Linked DNA regions of Caenorhabditis elegans. The protein of the gene in region 2 interacts with the protein of the main gene of each other region in a pairwise test. Each region holds a gene or a part of one and is shown on either strand. Other genes may lie near its edges.

What was found.
Region 1: the proteins of abu-11 (region 2) and Y39B6A.1 interact in a two-hybrid assay, tested with the Caenorhabditis elegans proteins (one large-scale study listed by BioGRID).
Region 3: the proteins of abu-11 (region 2) and phat-4 interact in a two-hybrid assay, tested with the Caenorhabditis elegans proteins (one large-scale study listed by BioGRID).
Region 4: the proteins of abu-11 (region 2) and rbm-7 interact in a two-hybrid assay, tested with the Caenorhabditis elegans proteins (one large-scale study listed by BioGRID).

Annotation. Positions count from the first base shown.
Region 1 is NC_003283.11:19,200,486-19,205,520, reverse strand, and holds Y39B6A.1 (Histidine-rich glycoprotein-like), read left to right. Parts: upstream 1-1,913; 5' UTR 1,914-1,923; coding exon 1,924-1,975; intron 1,976-2,137; coding exon 2,138-2,290; intron 2,291-2,336; coding exon 2,337-4,339; 3' UTR 4,340-4,508; downstream 4,509-5,035.
Region 2 is NC_003280.10:191,963-196,504, reverse strand, and holds abu-11 (Activated in Blocked Unfolded protein response), read left to right. Parts: upstream 1-1,946; 5' UTR 1,947-1,970; coding exon 1,971-2,045; intron 2,046-2,690; coding exon 2,691-2,909; intron 2,910-2,957; coding exon 2,958-3,527; intron 3,528-3,589; coding exon 3,590-3,913; 3' UTR 3,914-3,996; downstream 3,997-4,542. Other genes in the region: T01D1.8 (ZP domain-containing protein), read right to left, coding at 4,466-4,542.
Region 3 is NC_003283.11:4,128,155-4,131,459, forward strand, and holds phat-4 (ShKT domain-containing protein), read left to right. Parts: upstream 1-1,749; 5' UTR 1,750-1,783; coding exon 1,784-1,873; intron 1,874-1,932; coding exon 1,933-2,194; intron 2,195-2,248; coding exon 2,249-2,643; 3' UTR 2,644-2,755; downstream 2,756-3,305.
Region 4 is NC_003281.10:12,927,869-12,933,544, forward strand, and holds rbm-7 (RRM domain-containing protein), read right to left. Parts: upstream 4,000-5,676; 5' UTR 3,994-3,999; coding exon 3,814-3,993; intron 3,769-3,813; coding exon 3,560-3,768; exon of another isoform or gene 3,520-3,559; coding exon of another isoform or gene 3,314-3,519; intron 3,270-3,313; coding exon of another isoform or gene 3,224-3,269; intron 2,078-3,223; coding exon of another isoform or gene 2,024-2,077; exon of another isoform or gene 2,005-2,023; intron 1,850-2,004; coding exon 1,713-1,849; intron 812-1,712; coding exon 606-811; 3' UTR 502-605; downstream 1-501. Other genes in the region: Y37D8A.19 (uncharacterized protein), read left to right, coding at 2,024-2,077, 3,224-3,269, 3,314-3,519.

The DNA.
Region 1 (5,035 bases), on a different chromosome or scaffold from region 2:
GGCAGAATGACCGATAATCAATTATGGAGAGAGAAAAACCTGCTGATGGCACATTTTTCGAATAGTTTTGCGGTTTTTGGTTTCGGAACGTGGGGCGGAAATTGCTCCCGAATGCTGAAAATGTACAGGAACTGGAAAAAAGTCAAGGATCTTAAAAATTAGGCTGCCTGTATGAATTCCACGACAGTATGCTGTGAAATGCTTGAAATTTCAAGTCAAAGGCCCAAAAAATATCAAAGTTTCAGGAAAATTGAGGAAACATCGATTTTCGATGTTTTTCCGGAAAAACTATCCAGATTTGAAGCTTTTTCTCCTAATTTTCCCGGTTTTTTTTGAGAAAAAGTCAAAAACTCGAATTTTGAAGCCAGAAGATTGTCAGGAAACGGAAATTTCTGACAAAATTGCTCAAACTCCTGAATTTTCCACCGGAAACCTTCAAAAAGTGTAGTTGGTACTTCAAAAACCAGTTCAATTGCAGCAAATTAAGAACATTATAGAGATAAGGAGTATTAATTGTTGGTGCAAATAATGAATTATAACCACCATTGCAAGATTGAATGATCACATGATATTTGGAAAACTAGAAAACTAGTATTTCGAATTTCCAACAAAAAAAAGGTGTTAAGAGCACCATTAAAAGTTTGCCATCATCTTTGGAAATGCCACAGGCTCATAAAATAGCAGTTTTGGGTGTGGCTCTTCAGAAAACACAGTTTGGAGTTTTTAGGGGCAGTTGGGAAAGGTCGGCGGGTGCTGAAAGCTCCGAAAGCCCAATCAGAGCTGCTGAATTTGGTTAAAATCTGGAAAACCAGGAATCTAACACCTTGAAGCAACCCAGTGCTGCTCAGAGCTCTTGAGGGCAGCTAAAGCCAGTTGGGAGCTTCTAGAGGCCCATAGAAGCTTATCGGACCAATAGGGAGCTGCTAGAAGCCGTGCTCGTCGGAGCTGCTAAAATCTGCTAGGAGCCACTGGGAACTCACAAAGGACTTGAGGCCTATTAGAATAGTACAGGGCTCAGTAGAAGCAAATTAAATCCTTTAGAAAGCTTGCTTGAACTCCTAGGTCAGGCTGGAAGCTTCTAGAGACATTTATGAGCTGTTGGAGGCAATTGGAAGATTTCAGCAGTCGGGCTTTTCGGAATCACTAAGAGCTCGTGAAGGCACTTTAGATCTGCTAGACGATCACAAGGCTTACTAAAAGCAAATTGAAGCCTTCAGAAAGCTTGCTGGGCGCCTAGGCCAGGCTTTGAACTCCTAGGTCAGGCTGGTAGCTTCTAGAAGTACTTGGAAGGGTCTAGGACTAGTTGGAAGCCGCTAGAAATGTCTATGATCTAACTGAAACAATTAGAAAATTTTAGCAATCAGGCTGCTCGGAGCCACTTGAAGCTTATTGGAAGCAGTTAAACGTTCCAGAAAAGGTCAGTGTCCAAAGGTCAGGCTCTTTTTCGGTATGCTAGAACCTACCGAGACCCGAAAAATCACAAAAACCTCCAACTTCTCACACAAAACCCTTCAGTGAACTACTATAATACAATCAGCTGAAAATTTGAAAATTTTGAAAATTAATCAAATGCTGATGCTCAACAGCTGTCAGACTTCATCACCTCTCCTATTACCTCCCCAAATATTACATCACTCTGACAATCATCGTCCCAAATTTTCACGTTTCTCCTTCTCCGGGTGTCTTATCTCGATCTCTCACTTCTCCAAACATCATCAAAACTTTTAATTGCCTCCCGTGTCAAAATGGGCGGAGTCAAACTTAAGGGAGGCGGAGCCTAAAAAAAGCTTATAAAATGGGGCGGAGGAGGACGGTGATTATCAAAATTTTCGGGGCTTTTTCTCGATTTTACTTCTAAAATCCCTCTTAACTTTGAATTTCGAGTAAAATTCTGAAAATTCTGAAAATTCCAGAACCTAAACAATGACGGTGCACCATCATCATCACACCCACCACGTGTCGCTTCACAAGATCAGTGAGTTTTCGGCGCTTCCTGCCAAAGATCATTCTTATCAGTGAAATTACCGAAAAAATTAGAAAATTTCGGAAATGTTTGCCAACACAACACAACTGACATGTTATCAGTTGTAGTTTCTTAGTATCACCTACGGTAGTCAAAGATCATGATAATTTTCAGAGAAGCTCTTCTCGAAGCACTCCTCGCACGGGCATAAGCTCACTCGGGATGAAGCTCGCTCGGCGCTCCACGATATTGAGCACCTGGCCAAGGAGCTCCACTTCCAGAAGGTCTTTGATCATCATGCTCATGATGGACACATCTCATTGAAAGGTTGGTCCGGAGCTTTGGAATCTCTTAATAAACAGGAATATTTCAGGATTCCTGAGCTTCATCTCCCCACACCACGGTCACCATACCCATCATGCTCACGGAGCCCATCCAGGCCACCACGAGGTCCACCACCACCATCACCATGTGAAGGCTCAGGACTCGAGCAGCTCCAGCTCCTCCTCCAGCAGCAGCTCGAGCTCCAGCTCCTCCAGCTCATCCTCATCCTCTTCCTCTTCGTCTGAATCCGAGGACGAGAAGCACCACCACAAGAAGCACGCCAAGAAGCATCTTAAGAAGCATCACAAGAAGGCCGAGTCTAGCTCTTCCAGCTCATCCAGCTCCTCGAGCTCCAGCTCAAGCTCCTCTTCCAGCTCCTCATCTGAGTCCGAAGACGAGAAGCATCACCATAAGAAGCATGCCAAGAAGCATCTGAAGAAGCATCACAAGAAGGCTGAGAGCTCTTCCAGCAGCTCATCGTCAAGCTCCTCTAGCTCCAGCTCCTCCAGCTCGTCTTCTTCGTCGTCGGAGTCCGAAGACGAGAAGCATCACCACAAGAAGCATGCCGTGAAGAAGCATCACAAGAAGGCCGAGTCTAGCTCGTCCAGCAGCTCGAGCTCGAGCTCCTCCAGCTCCTCTTCCTCATCCGAGGATGAGAAGCACCATCACAAGAAGCACGCCGCCAAGAAGCACGTGAAGCATCACAAGAAGGCCGCTTCCAGCTCCAGCTCTTCCAGCAGCTCCTCTTCCTCTTCCAGTTCTTCTTCATCGTCTTCTTCCTCGGAATCTGAAGACGAGAAGAAGAAGAAGAAGGTGCATCACAAGAAGAGCCACGGAAAGAAGCATCACAAGAAGGCCGCGAGCTCTTCTAGCTCTAGCTCTTCCTCCAGCTCCAGCTCCAGCTCCTCATCTTCCTCAGAATCTGAGGACGAGAAGAAGCACGCTCCAGCCCATCATGAGCACCACGAGCACAAGGATGGAGCTCATCACGAGCACAAGGAAGGAGAGCACCATGAGCACGCAGCTCATCACGACGAGCACGGAGTCCACCACAGACATCATGGAGAGCACCATGGGACCCACCACTCCCCAGCTCATCACGGGGAACATGGGACCCACCACGGACACCATGGAGAGCACCACCATGCTCCAGCTCATCATGGACACCACGAATCCCATGGACACGGACATCACTCCCCAGCCCACCACGGACATCATGGGGAGCACCACCATGCTCCAGCTCATCACGGACATCATGGAGAGCACCACCATGCTCCAGCACACCATGGACACCACGGGGAACATGGGACCCACCACGGACACCACGGATCCCATCACTCCCCAGCTCACCACGGACATCATGGGGAGCACCACCATGCTCCAGCACACCACGGACACCACGGGGAACATGGGACCCACCACGGACATCATGGAGAGCACCACCATGCTCCAGCACACCATGGACACCACGGGGAACATGGGACCCACCACGGACACCACGGATCCCATCACTCCCCAGCTCACCACGGACATCATGGGGAGCACCACCATGCTCCAGCTCATCACGGACACCACGGACACCACGGATCTCACGGAGTTCATCACGGACACCACGAATCCCATGGGCATGGTCACCACGCACCGGCTCACCACGGACACCATGGGGAGCATGGAGTTCATCACGGACATCATGGAGCAGGCTACGGAGCTCACCATGGACACCACGGAGCCCACCACCACCACGCCCCACACCATGAGCATCACGAACACCATGGAGATCATCACCACGGATCTCACGGAGTCCATCACGGACACCACGGAACCCACCACTCCCTAGCACATCACGGACATCACGGAGGTCATGGGACCCACCACGGAGCCCATCACTCCCCGGCTCACCACGGACACCACGGAGCCCACCACGAGCACGGAGCCCATCACGGAGCCCACCACGGACACCATGACGACAAGGAGAACCACCACCATCATGGACACCATTCGAAGCATTCAAAGAAGCAGCACACGAAGAAGTCACATAAGAAGAGCCACTAGACGGGCGGTCGATGAGCTTCTGCTCGCCACAATTGATGCGTCACTGCATTACATGTACTTTTTGGATAAATCCTGAACAGCCTTTTTTTTTTGTTTGTATCGATTTTTCTAGCGAATTTGTAATTTTTTGTACCAATTTTTCCGTGTCGAATAAATTAATTTCATTGTGTTTAGTGGAGAAAAACGAAGAAAAAAAACATGAAAAATTGCGATAGCAGCGCCCAAATCTTGTAGTTTGTAGTTTTAGCAGCGCCCAAACTCACTTTTTCTTCATTTTTCCAATTTTTTGCCGAAAAAACAGTCGAAAACTAGGTTTTTTATACGAAAAATCGCATAGCAGCGCCCAAAACTTGTAGTTTGTAGTCTTAGCAGCGCCCAAAATTGAATTAGCAGCGCCCAAAACTTGTAGTTTGTAGTTTAGCAGCGCCCAAAATTGAATTAGCAGCGCCCAAAATTGAATTAGCAGCGCCCAAAATCTTGTAGTTTGTAGTGTTAGCAGCGCCCAAAATCTTGTAGTTTGTAGTTTAGCAGCGCCCAAAATCTTGTAGTTTGTAGTCTAAGCAGCGCCCAAAACTTGTAGTTTGTAGTCTTAGCAGCGCCCAAAACTCGTAGTTTGTAGTCTAAGCAGCGCCCAAAATTGAATTAGCAGCGCCCAAAATCTTGTAGTTTGTAGTGTTAGCAGCGCCCAAAATCTTG
Region 2 (4,542 bases):
TCAGGGATGGGCGGCAAACGATTTTTTCCGGCAAATTGCTAAATTGCCGGAATTGAAATTTTTGGCAAATCGGCAAACTAGCAAATTGCCGGAATTGAAAATTTTCAGCAAACCAGTCAACCGGCAATTTACCGATTTTCCGAATTTGTCGACAAAAAAACTTCCGAACGGCAATTGCCGCCCGCCCCTAATTTGAAAAGTTTTTGTATAATACGGTTCGACAGCCGTACACATTTTTTGTTGTGTAGCTCTCAAATACACGCTGTGATTTGAGAATCCATGCATCTGATCTTTTGCAGAGTCTTCCTATCGAAAAGAGCAAATTTCTCAGTACCCCTTGATCTTTTGTAGAACTGCTCATTCACAGCATCTAATCCCCCCACACGTCTTAACATAATTAGCATTCCTACATTAGCTACTACATGTGTTGATTATTTGTCTAACAAGATAGAGATAGTGTATACATACTTCCGCTCTCATAAAGACCGGTCATTTTCCGTGCTCATTCTCACTCTCGCAATGTTCTTCCCACACCCTTGATCCTAAGGAAACATGCTCCTCAAGAATAATCTCTTGAAAAGCGTGAGCGATTGTGGTAACAAAAAATCATGAGTATCAATGAAAACAATTCAACGGAATTTGGATTTGGGTGGGTGTGAAGGCGCTGTAAAAAAATGTAATATGAATTTAAGACCTCTATCTGCAAAAAGGTACAATGTAATTTTACAAAGTATTCAAGGTTTCCCTTGAAATAATTTTATAAAAACATTCGTACTAAATATCGAAAACTGCACCAAAACTATTTGCCGAGTGGATTTATCAGTTTCCCGCAATATTGGCAAGACTATCAGGTTATATGATATGATATTAGTATGAGTGCACCTCCACAAGAGTAAAGATGCAATGACTAAGATCAAAAAATTCCATTCCGCTTTGAGCACAAAAAAGATTCAGCGCTGGTAAACTAGTTCTCACCAAGTTTAGAACATCAAACAATTGACGCAATTTGTAGGTCATAGACTGGCAGGTTTTTGATGTTTTACATGACAAGTTTGAGAATAATGAAAGCAATCTTCATACATTTTAATAACTTTTTAAAGAGTTTTTAACTGATATCTTCCTAGAGCAACAAAAACAGCTTATATTTGCAAACATAACCATTTAAAGTTGAAAATGATACTTTTGCCATTGGGTTTTGAATTTGTCAAAATCTTGTTATTAATTTATTTTACTCATGTAGTTTCTAGAAAACATGTCATTCGTCCTGAAACCCCATGGAGCATACGTTATTGTCCTGTCAGAATGTTATTACGTAATATATTACTCATGACATTTACACCATATACAAAAATCTATTTATTTGCAAATATGTTCCATGATTATTTTCTGAGCAACAACAATTATATCATAGTCTAGACTTCACAGGGATAATTAATGTTGTTGGGAAGAAAAGTAAGAACTTTAGAAATGGTGATTGACCGAGTGAACTCTCAAATATCTATTTTTGTCTTTGTAATAACTCTATGAGTAATGAGGAATGAGGAACTGAATTTGTGACTGCAAATTAATCAGAAAGATTATTTAAAGAAGAAAGATATTTTGCTGTAGTTTGTGATGGCTGCTGAAAGACCACCGGAAGACTTTTGACATCGACCAAGTCCTGAAAGATCACGTCCCTCCAGTTCTTCAACTGTAACCCTTGTGAATACTAGAAAGTAAAAAACAAAAAAATAACAACATGTCAACATAACAACACGCCCTCCCCCTCTTGCTCTGCTCTTCCAAACACATGAGCACACACACACACAGGCACACGCAAAAAATTTGGAGACGCATCACTCGAAGAAACCGGAATTTGGGACAGAGGTGGTAGTAGAGGAGAGGGGGCGATGTTTAACTGATTGCAACGGGAAGATATATAAGCAAGAGCATGTATTGGGACAATCATCACTCACTCTGACAAGCTTGAAATGAACACCAAATTTTCAATTCTCTTTTCGCTTTTGGCGGTTTCAGCACTTGCGGTGGCTGCTGAGGAGAATGTGGTATGTATTATTTTTATGAATCTAATTATAAATATTTCATTTGTTCCCCTTTTCTAACTCTTATATTATAAATACTTATTTTTTAATTTTAAAACATTTCGTGCTCACTCACAAGCAATTGCATAACTTGAATATGAATTAAGTAAAATATAGGAACTTCTTAATATATGTTTCAAATAGTTTATCGTTTGACTTCATTATTTTACTACTGAAAATTTAGCAACAGGGGAGTATTTTGAGCTGCAAAAAAGTCGTTCTGAAAAGTTTTCAATGAATTTTTCACAACTTTCGAACTATCGAGGGCAGTAAAAATGTGCCAAGTGTGAATTTTTGCTGACTTTCAAGAGCTTCTAGCATGTTTAGGAGCTGGCTAACAATCGTAAATTTTTTTGGAATTTTTAATTTTTTGAAAAAATCTGAAATTTTTTCACTCAAGGGGTTTTTCTGATTTTCAATTTTACGGGCTTCTAAAGTAATAAAAAAAATACACTAATAGCAACTTCAGATCGAAATTTTTCTAGTTCTAAGTTCTCCTCTGCCGCTTAATTTTTTTTGCAAGGGCCTATTTAGAAGGTTTTTTGCAAATGAGATATTATCCAGAAGACTAAAAAATTAAGTTGAAAAATTAAGTCGTTCCTTTTTCAGTTCCTCCGCGCTCGTCGCCAATCTTCATGTGGATGCGCCATTCCAGCTGCTCCACAATGCAACTGCCAACCAGCTCAAACCAACACCGCCCAACAATCTTGCTCCTGCGCTCAAGCTCAACAGCCATCAAGCTGCGGATGCGCTCAACAGTATCAGCAACAACAGTGTGCACCAACTTGTCAGAGCTCCTGTGAACAGAGCTGTGTTGCCCAGCAACAGGTTAGTCAAACCAAATTCAACCCAGTTAGCCATTTCATATTATTTAAGCCAATCGCCCAGTGCCAATCATCTTGCTCTTCCACTTGCCAGTCCGCATGCGCTCAGCCAGTTCAGCTTCAGCAGCCAGCTCAGCAACAGTGCCAACAAGATTGTCAAGCTGCTTGCCCACAACAACAACAACCACAGCAACAGTGCCAGCAGCAATGCCAGACGACATGTCAATCCGATGATCAGTACTCTCAACAATTGATCCAACAGCAAACCTACGCTCAGCCAGGACAAATCCCAGCCTACACCGGAAGATCCGAGTACAATACTGCCCCACCACAACAGCAACAAGCCAGTCAATGCAATACCTGCCAAAACTCGTGCCTTAACACATGCCAGCAGCAACAGCAGCCAGTGCAACAGTGCCAATCATCATGTGATCAATCGTGCCAGCCACAATGTGCCACGCCATCTGGCTCCGCTTACAACCAAGTCAACTACCAGCCACAGGCCCAGAACAACTACCAAACCAACAACAACTACCAACAGCCAGGAGCCATTCCATCATACCAAGGAGCTTCCCAGACTGCTGCACCAACCTACCAGCCATACAGAGACACCAATGTTCAGGTAACATATTAATAGTATTACTTCTAAATCTAGATTTAAAGAAATCCAACCTAAATTTGTAGGTCGGAGGAACCATCTCCCAGTGCAACACTTGCCAAACCCAGTGCAACCAGGAATGCCAAGTCCAGCAGACCCCAGTGAACCAGTGCGCTCCACAATGCGACGCTCAATGCCAGCCAGCCTGCTCCCCAGCTGCTCCAGCAGCTCCAGTTCAAACGCAACAACAAATTCAGCTTACCATCAATGTTCCAGTTGCTCGTCAGTCCCCACAGTGTCAGCCACAATGTGAGCAAAGCTGCAACACCCAATGCATTCAGCAACAGCAACCAATCTCGCAGTGTCAGCCAGCTTGTCAGCAGAGTTGTTCGGCTTCCTGCAGAAAGTAAATTAACTTTAATTATTAATTTTTGGGAAAAAATAACTTTGTGATGGTTTTTTGTGTATATTTTGATAAATAAATTGTTTTCTACATATGTTCATCTCCTGCATCATACATCTTCACTAAATATTTTATCATTATTATTCCCTCTTGGGATGATAATTACAGAGAAATTTCTAGAATAGAAAAATTTATGAATCATTCAGTCATGTAAATTTTAGCTTTCAATCTCTATAATCTGCGGAACATCTATCTTCTTTTTTTTCTTTTCCACTCAATTTCTGAAACTGAAGTTTTACCACAAAAGCTAAACCCACCAATTACGTGTTATATTTGAAAAGCGGTAAGAAACTTAAAATAATGAACGGTCATCAAGGGTGTTACCTGCGTCAATAAGGGTTTTCGGTGTTTAATTCCAGTCTTTTGGGAATATTAGTTGTTATAGATTTTGACACAAAAAACCTCCACGCAATAATAATTAAACATTTCGTACATAAATCCTGCGTGTGAAACTTTTTGAAAAATTTTATTAGACAAAATGTTTTATTCATATCATATCTCAATTTAAATATCTCGAAAATCGTCGTTGGTTTCCACATCGAGGCCTCTGACACTGTTCATGGTCCTTGAACAGCA
Region 3 (3,305 bases), on a different chromosome or scaffold from region 2:
ATAGAAAATCGTCCACTCTTCAAATTTTCAAAACTTCAAGTCAAGCAGTTTTTTCAATTTTTTGGTTTCAAACAACTTTTAAACATAAAGCAACTCCCAGTACCTAAAAACCTTAAGTTATCTTCACCTTTTATCGATTTTCAGTTCGTCTACACCCCATCCGCTGTCGCATGCTCTAACACAATCTCTGATGCAGCTTGCCAAGCTCTCTACGCTGCTCCAGACACCACTGCCGGATACCCATCAGCTGGAACCGATGCTGAACGACCATTGAACTGCTACACAACCGCCACAGCTACTCCAGCAGCTATTGTTCAAGACATGAAGACTGCTGCTTTGGAGACTTGTGCCAAGACTTGTGGATTGTGCTGCCAAACTGATGCATACAGTTGCAGTAAATGTTTGAAAATTCTAAGAAAATTCAATTGCATCAAATCCAAGAAATAGGTGGGGCCACTTCATGAGTTTGAAAGAGATTAACACCAATTTGAAATAGTTACTTTGTGAATTCTACTTCCGTAATTGTGAACGAATTGTTATAAGGCATTTACGGCAAATCGATTCTCAAAAGTCACGTATTCCGAACACTGAACCCAATGGTTTTTGACTTGGGGTACTACAAAAACTACAATTACGTTTTTAAAGTTTCAATTAATGTTATAATTATTGAAATTTCCTTTATGAAAAATTAAATCTTAAAGGGAAATTGTTAAGATTTAAAAATAAATTAAAATGTTTCGATAAAGTTACATATACATTGATCGAAGCCGACTATCAGATTGACACAAACAAAAACAGGTAAAAAACTGATCATCAAAGTTTTCTAATGATCAATTAAACGAAAGAAATCAAAAACAGAACCTGTTAATGATCTGTAAAATATATCAAATTGAACACATTTTTTAAAAATTCAAATGTATCAGATAAACCCATTAAAGGGTTAGAACTTTTTAAGTGAGAATTTGTAAGAAATTAAAATTTTTTTCATCGACAGGCTAACCTAGCAGGCTCCTCTAACAATTCCACCAATAAATTATTTTCCAATTTCAGACCCACGCCTCGACTGCTCAACAATCACCACTGCTCAATGTAACTCTATCATCTGGAGATCCATCATTGCCACCGACTGCCCATCTGCTTGCGGATTCTGTAACGAGGGAGGATGTGTTGATGCTCTTGTTGACTGTGCCACTGATATCTCAATCTGCACTACAGTTGGAATGCAAGATTTCGTGAATACCTACTGCCAAAGAACATGTGGAAGATGCCCATCATCAAGTACAACCTCTTCAAGCTCCACAGCTTCATCTTCCTCCACATGCACTTCTTACAATGCTGACAGTTCATCTCTCTGTTCCGATTGGGCGGCCAATGGATTCTGCACCAATGCGTTCTACACCAGTGCTCAGAGAAAATCTTATTGTGCATCGACCTGCAAGATTTGCTAATTTTTGTCTTCACATAATTTATCACCCCCGCCCCATTTTTTTTTCCAGCCCAGTGACGCTTTCTGAACCCAATTACCTTATTCATTCTAACGGAACTGACCAATCCAGTAAAAATATCGAATAAAAAGCGTTGTGATTTTTAATGTACAAATGAATGATTGCATGGAAAGCTAACATTGTTTGAACAAGCAAAAAACGTTGGTAAAATGGAAACAATGAATTCATCGCTGTGCACTATTGTCAGACAGGTGATCAAATATGATGAATAGGAGTATATAAGAGATATCGGTTTGTCGAGTAATCATCCAAGAATTTCAACAGCAATTCATCCAGCAATGTATTTCCTCATCAGCCTCTTCTTCGTCCCATTCAGCAGCGCCGTTATTGGTGGTGACTTGAATTGTACTACTTACAATGGAACAGCGGTATGTTTTTAGGATAGCGTTTCGAAGGGCCTCTAATAGTAAGAATATTAAAATTTCAGTTCGTCTACACCCCATCCGCCACAGCCTGCTCGAACTCGATTTCCGATTCATCGTGTGCTGCTCTCTACCCACCAGCAGATGCGGCTATTGGATACCCAGCTGCTGGAAATGATGCTGAAAGACCATTTGCTTGTTACACAACTGCCACTCCAACTCCTGCTCCAGTTGTTGCTGACATGAAGACTGCTGCCTTGGCCAACTGCGCCAAGACCTGTGGATTCTGCTGCTCAACTGACGCCTACAATTGTCCAAATGTTGCTTGTAAGTTCCTATTTTTATTTTAGTATTCCTAAAACACGCTCCCACTTCTTTCAGTCCCACGTCTCAACTGCAACACAATCACCAAGGCTCAATGCGACTCTGTCACTTGGAGAACCATCATCGCCGCTGACTGCCCATCTGCCTGCGGATTCTGCAACCAGGGAGGATGCGTCGATGCTGTCACCAACTGCGGAAACGACTTGAGCATTTGCCAAACCGTCGGAATGCAAGATTTCGTTAACCAATACTGCCAAAGAACCTGCGGAAGATGCCCATCGACAACTGGATCCGGAACTGTCACCACTGCATCTTCGGGATCTTGCACTTCATTCGCCGCCGACTCCAGCTCATCTTGCTCAGCTTGGGCCGCCAACGGATTCTGCACCAACACCTTCTACACAGCTGCTCAACGCAAATCCAGATGTGCCACAAGTTGCAGACTCTGCTAATCTATTAATTTATCAATTTTCTCTGACATTTCTCCTTACTTCTTTCAAGACACACATCGGGTGACTATGGAACTGACCATTCCTTCCGTACAATAAATGTTTTAACGTGCAAGTTTTTGGTGAACAGTTTACAACAATAAAACAGGCATGTTTTCAGGCGTACCTTGTACCTTATACCTACCAGAACTTTTCCGTTTTCTCAGTTATTTTACCGTGGTTTTTTGCAGAATTTGAGAAGTATTAACAAGCATTTTGGTTATTAAAGACTAAAGGTTTAAGTTCATTTTGGCGGTAGGCAGGTGTAGGTCATGTTCCACTAGATGTGTGTCTATCCACCTACGTGTCTTATGAGTGACAAAATGGGTAACGGGAGGCCAGAATTCTGGCTTTTACATTATTATCAGCATTGTTAAGGAAAAGGCGATAGAGGGCGATACAGATTATTTTTCATAACTGCAACAAAAAATTCGGTTCATTTTAAATTCATATCGCAGTTAAAACTATTTTAAACGTTTGATCTTCTACTATTTGAATAATTTGATTAGCTGATTGGCTTATGACATCAGCTGCGGGAAGTCATTATGCAAACGTGAATAATTTGGTAGTACGTGTGTTTTATTGTTTTCTATTTTTTGAATTCAATAACTTGAATAAGAAAAATA
Region 4 (5,676 bases), on a different chromosome or scaffold from region 2:
AATAAAGGTGGACCTCTCACCTGATTGGTCGGAAAGTGGGCGAAGCAATTCGCTGGTTGGTCGGCCAAAATTTAGCCAAAATTGAAAAAAAGGTGTTTTTTTTCTGTGGAATTTCTGAATTTTTAGGATTTTCCAAAAAAAATCCGAATTTTTTGATTTTTTAACAATTTTCAAAAAAAAACTGCTTTTTAGGCCCCGCCCACTTCTTGGAGATAGGTTATTTTGGAAAATAAATTCCAAAAAAAACACTGAAAATTTCCGAATGCCCAAGAAGTGGGCGGAGCCTAAAAATAAATTTTTTTGGATTTTTTTATTTTTCAAAAAAAAACGGCTTATTAGGCCCCGCCCACTTCCTGGAGATATCTGTTTTTCTGGAAAGGAAAAAAATTCCAAAAAAATCACTTGAAATTTCCGGATATCCAGGAAGTGGGCGGAGCCTAAAAATAAATTTTTTTGAAAATTTCCAGTAGATCTTTGTTGTTGCATTTTTCTCTATATTTTCAAATTGTGTTTGCTTTTATTAAATATATAAAATGAGACCAAAAAACATGGCAAAACAAGTGAAAAAGATCAAAATAATTATGATTTCCCGCCCGAATCATCGATCAATAACGTTCACGTCTTCTGTCATCATTGCGATGATGCCGGCTCGAGCTTCGGTCATATCCATGACGATCGTGATGACGGTGTGGCGTGGAATTCTGATGACGTCCATTGTACGGAGGAGCGGATCTATTAATTTGTTGCTGCATCATTTGATTTACAAAATGTTGATGAGGAAGCATTTGCGGAGTCGAATATTGTGGAGGACCTGGAAAATATTGATTTTTCGATTTTTTTTCCGACATTCTTGCGTTTTTCGGCTGAATTGGTTACTTTTTTCAGCGAACTTTTTTCAGCTTTTTCAATTTTATTCAATTTTTTTTAGTTATTTTAGGTACATTAAGCTTGTTCTCATGAAATTTAGGTCTAAAAATCTAGAACTTTTCAGAAACTTCTGCAAAAAAAATCGATTTTTTGGAAAAATTAACGAATTTTTCCGACATTTCTGCGTTTTTCTGCAGAAAATTTATTGGTTTTCATTGAATTTTTCTCTAATATTTGATTTTAGGAATGATTTTTCAGACTTTTTGCCGCAAAAAAAGTCCCTGAAACTCTCTAAAATTGGCCACTTTTGAGCTTCAGCAATTTTTTTTTGCGGAAAAATGTCTGAAAATTGGACAAACGATGCTCTTTTTTTCGTCTGGTGTAATTTTTTTTCCCAATTTTTGAGTTATTTTAGGCCTAATTAGGTAAATTGAGCCTGCTTTTATGCAATTTAGGGCTAAAAATCTCCAATTTTTCAGATTTTTGAACAAAAAAAAATTTTTTCTAATTAAGATTTTTTCACCGATTTCTCACTTATATTGAGGGGGTTTCGGAAAAATTATAGATTTGTTCTTCTAAAATTCCTCAAAAATTGGCTCAATTTTTTAAAAATCAAATTTTCCGGCTAATTTCCGCAAAAACCTTGCAAATTATCGATTTTTAGGGTTTCAGCATGTTTTTTTGCGGAAAAAAGGTTGAAATTTTGAATTTTTTGCAAAAAAAAATTTTTAAAAAAAAGATTTTTTTTCCATTTTTCAGTTATTTTGAGCCCGTTCTCATGTATTTCAGGCCTAAAAATCTCCAATTTTTCAGAAATTTCAACTAAAAATCGATTTTTTTGCTACCTCTTTCCCCTCCGCTTCTCCAATGTCCTCCGGATCCTCCCATCAGTGGAGGTGGCGGTGGAGGTGGAAGAGGATCATATTGTCGATGATGACGAGGAGGCTGCTGCTGCTGCCATGAGTCACGGTTGTTTCCGTTTCTGGAAAAGACAAAAAAAAAATGATTTTTCGGCCTTTTTTTGTTGATTTTCAACGTTTTTCTTCGATTTCTGAGATTTTTAATCAAAAAAAAAATGTTGTGAGACAGAAACCAAGCCAACGCCGGGTATAAAATAAAGCCGAATTTGATCTTTTTATCATCGTCTGAGTTAGAGATGAAGCTTCTTATCGTATTTTTCGCTGTAATTTCTGTGGCTGCGGGGCAGAGCGTGAGTTTTTTATAATGTTTTTTATAATTAAAGGTGGTGTTACACCACTGGTGTAGTAGAATTTTTTTTAAAAATTGCCTTATTAGGCTCAAAATTGTCTGAAAACACCGAATTTCATAATGAAACTTCTTGAAAACTTTTCAGAAAAAAGTTATGACGGCTCAAAAAATGGCCTAAAATTAGATGAAATCGGAAATTTGACCGACTTGTCAATGTCGCAGCGGCTGGAAATATTTTTTTTTTGAAATCACCGTTAAATTTTGAGTCTACGAGTTGATATTTTGCGTTTTAAACTTGATTAACAAGGAAAGTCGAAAAATTTAATGTCTGACTTTGGCATGACATAGTATTTTTTTCGATAAAAGAGTGAAAATAATGATGCCTCCAAAAAATTTAGCTGCCCGGTCCAGGTTCGGCAAAGTTATGACGTTTTGAAAGTGACTGGAACACCTTTTTACAAAATTTCAAAATTTTCAAAAAAAAAAAAAATTTTCTAAAAAGAGGAAAAAACTGTTTTAACTTATCCAAAAATGAGAAAAACATTTATCATACACGTTTTTTCTCACCACAGACCAAAAAGCACATTGCTTGATCTACATAACTTGAGGAAAATTCCAAAAAGTACATTTTTTTGCAGATTTAATTTGTGGGTTTTCTTGAGAGGTATAACCTAAAACTTGCATAGCATATGTTTTTCATTGTTTTGAATAATTTACACACATTTGCTCCTCTTTTTAGAAATTTTTTTTTGTTGAAAATTTTGAAATTTTGTAAAAAGGTGTTTTAGTCACTTCCAAAACGTCATAACTTTGCTGAACCTGAACCGGGCAGCTAAATTTTTTGGAGGCATCATTATTTTTACTCTTTTATCGAAAAATACTATGTCATGCCAAAGTCAGACATTAAATTTTTCGACTTTCCTTGTTAATCAAGTTTAAAACGCAAAATATCAACTTGTAGACTCAAAATTTAACGGTGATTTCAAAAAAATATATTTCCAGCCGCTGCGACATTGACAAGTCGATCAAATTTCCGATTTTAACGAATTTTAGGCCATTTTTTGAGCCGTCATAATTTTTTTTGGAAAAGTTTTCAAGAAGTTTCATTATAAAATTCAAAAAAAAAATCAATTTTGTTTCTTTTCAGATCATCTGGAACAATAACAATGCTAACAGATTCCCAAGTTGCTTTGGTACGATTTTTAACGCTAAAAAATCAATAAAATTCAATTTCCAGCCTGCTCCACTGCCGCCGGCTTCGTCGCCAACATTGACGGCCAGTCTACAAATGCTCGGTGCACTGACGCTGCTTCAAATCCAGCCGAACGATGCCCAGGATGTTGTGCATCCGTTGCTCTTGCCGCCGGGCTCTCCGCAGATCGCGCCTCCGGATTCCCGTCGACAAACGGAAGAAGCTGTGTTTGCTGCGTCAGATCGTGCTAATTGAGCCTTAAAATCCTTGAATTAATCCAATAAACTCTACCTATTCCTGTTCCGATCATCTCTATAGCTATCCCGTCTTCCGTCTCGATCCGGTGCCGCTACCGATCGAACTCTTTCCTCGATTTCTCCTTTTTTTCGCTTATATAATTCCTCCTGATTTGTGCCATTTCGCGGCTTTACTTGTAGTTCTTGATTGAAAAGTCGCACTCCATTCATCAATTCAATGGCGAATAGTACAGATAATTCGTCCTGAAATTTATTTTTTTTTTTAAATTTTTCAGCGAAATTGCTTACCTCAAACTCCACCAATGCGAATTTTGCATTAGAATCCCTCACATCTCTCAGAATAACTTTTACAACGGGGCCGGCTTGAATAAAAAGCTCTTCGAGCAATTCTTCATCGACTTCTTCTGAAAAATTGGCCACGTATATTGTGCGCTCTTCTGGAGGCGATGGCGTTGGTTTTATTTCCATTTTTTGCTGAAAATTCAAATTTAAATTCGAAATTTCGAAAAAAAGGCTGAAAATTCACTCATGTGAGAGAAAAAGCGAGAAAAACGAGAAAAACCAAATAAATCCCATTCCCATTCCCGGATGGCGCAAACATGTCCTCGCTGACGCGTTTCTCGATTTTGCTGGCGCATATCTCGTGCATAGAGAAAAGCCAGCACGGCACTAGAAAAGTAGAACCTAGCCGACAAAAACTGGTTGTTTTAGCAAATTTACTTAACCTTTTTCCGTTTTTTGTGAAAATTAATTGTTTCCAAAGTATATTTCAGGTACTTTTACTAGTTTTTTCCGTGTGTCGAGTGGAGAAGAGGCTCGCAGAGCTCTACAGTTCGATTTAAAGCAAAAATTAATATTTCTCCATGGAGCGAGCGGTGTATTTATTTTTAAAATTTTTATACAGCTAAACCGCTCAATTCCTGAGAATTAGCTTTGTTTGAAACCAAACTTAAATTGACTTAAAAATCCATATTTCTACCTCAAAAAATAAATCGAATCCGTCTCAAGAGCCCTTTAGCCACCCTTTAGCCCCCTTCTTCCTCAGAAAAATGTCCGCTTTTTTTTAATTCAAAAGAAAAAAGGTTATTTCTTCCTCATTTTTCTCCTGTATGACGAATTTACCTGCTTTTCAGATCGTCAGAGCGCCCAAATGAGTCATTATTTATTTGTTTTACTAACTATTTCATAGCAGTTTCAAAAAAACTAGAAAGTTCTTTTCAGGTTCAGGCTATGAGGAACAATATTTTTCTAGATTGATAAATAAATATTTCTCCGTTGTTCCGCAATTTTTATCGAGAAAAAACAAGATCAGGCGCCCCCTCGTGGGGTTTTTTTTCTGAAAAGTGCAATTTCCTGCCTCTCTTTTGCTAGACGATTCATTAAAAACCCACAAATGATGATGATAAGACATCAAATTTTGATTTCTTTGGCATTTTTTACAAAGATTTTTGATTTTTTTTAAACGCTAATCGTAATTTCGTACTTTATTTAGTGTGTTTAAACCATAAATTGTTAGAAATCTTGTCTCAAACACATATGTGCTCATGAGCATGCTCACAAATACTTTTTGATGACAAAAACAATTATTTTCACTGATAACATGTAATAAAACATAAAATGAACATAAAACATGATTTTTAATGCAAAAAACCCCTTTTTTCGAAGAATTTTGATTAAATTTGATATTCCACTACTTTTCCCCAGCTCTTTCACTTTCCGCCTTTTCTGGGTCTCCCCCGTCGTCTCCCATATCTCTTCTTCCCCGTTCGTTCTCCCATTTTCTTGGCTAATTGCCAAGAAATTGGAACAACGCCACATCTGTCTCGCGCGCCACTGCAACTTTTTCCTCACGAGGGACGAGGAAAAGTGGTTTCTAGGCCATGGCCGAGGGGCCGACAAGTTTCAGCGGCCATTTATCTTGCTTTGTTTTCCGCCTGTTTTCTTTTGTTTTTCATCGATTTTTTTCGTTTTTTCTTATTAAAACTGATAAATAAATACTTTTTGCAGATGCTAAAACAATTTCCAAGTAAAAAATTATGTATTCAGTGGGCAAGCAGCGGTGAAAGTGGCCAATAATCATATTACAATGCCCACTTTCACCGCTGCTTGCCCACTGAATACATGATTTTTTTACTTGGAAATTGTTTTAGC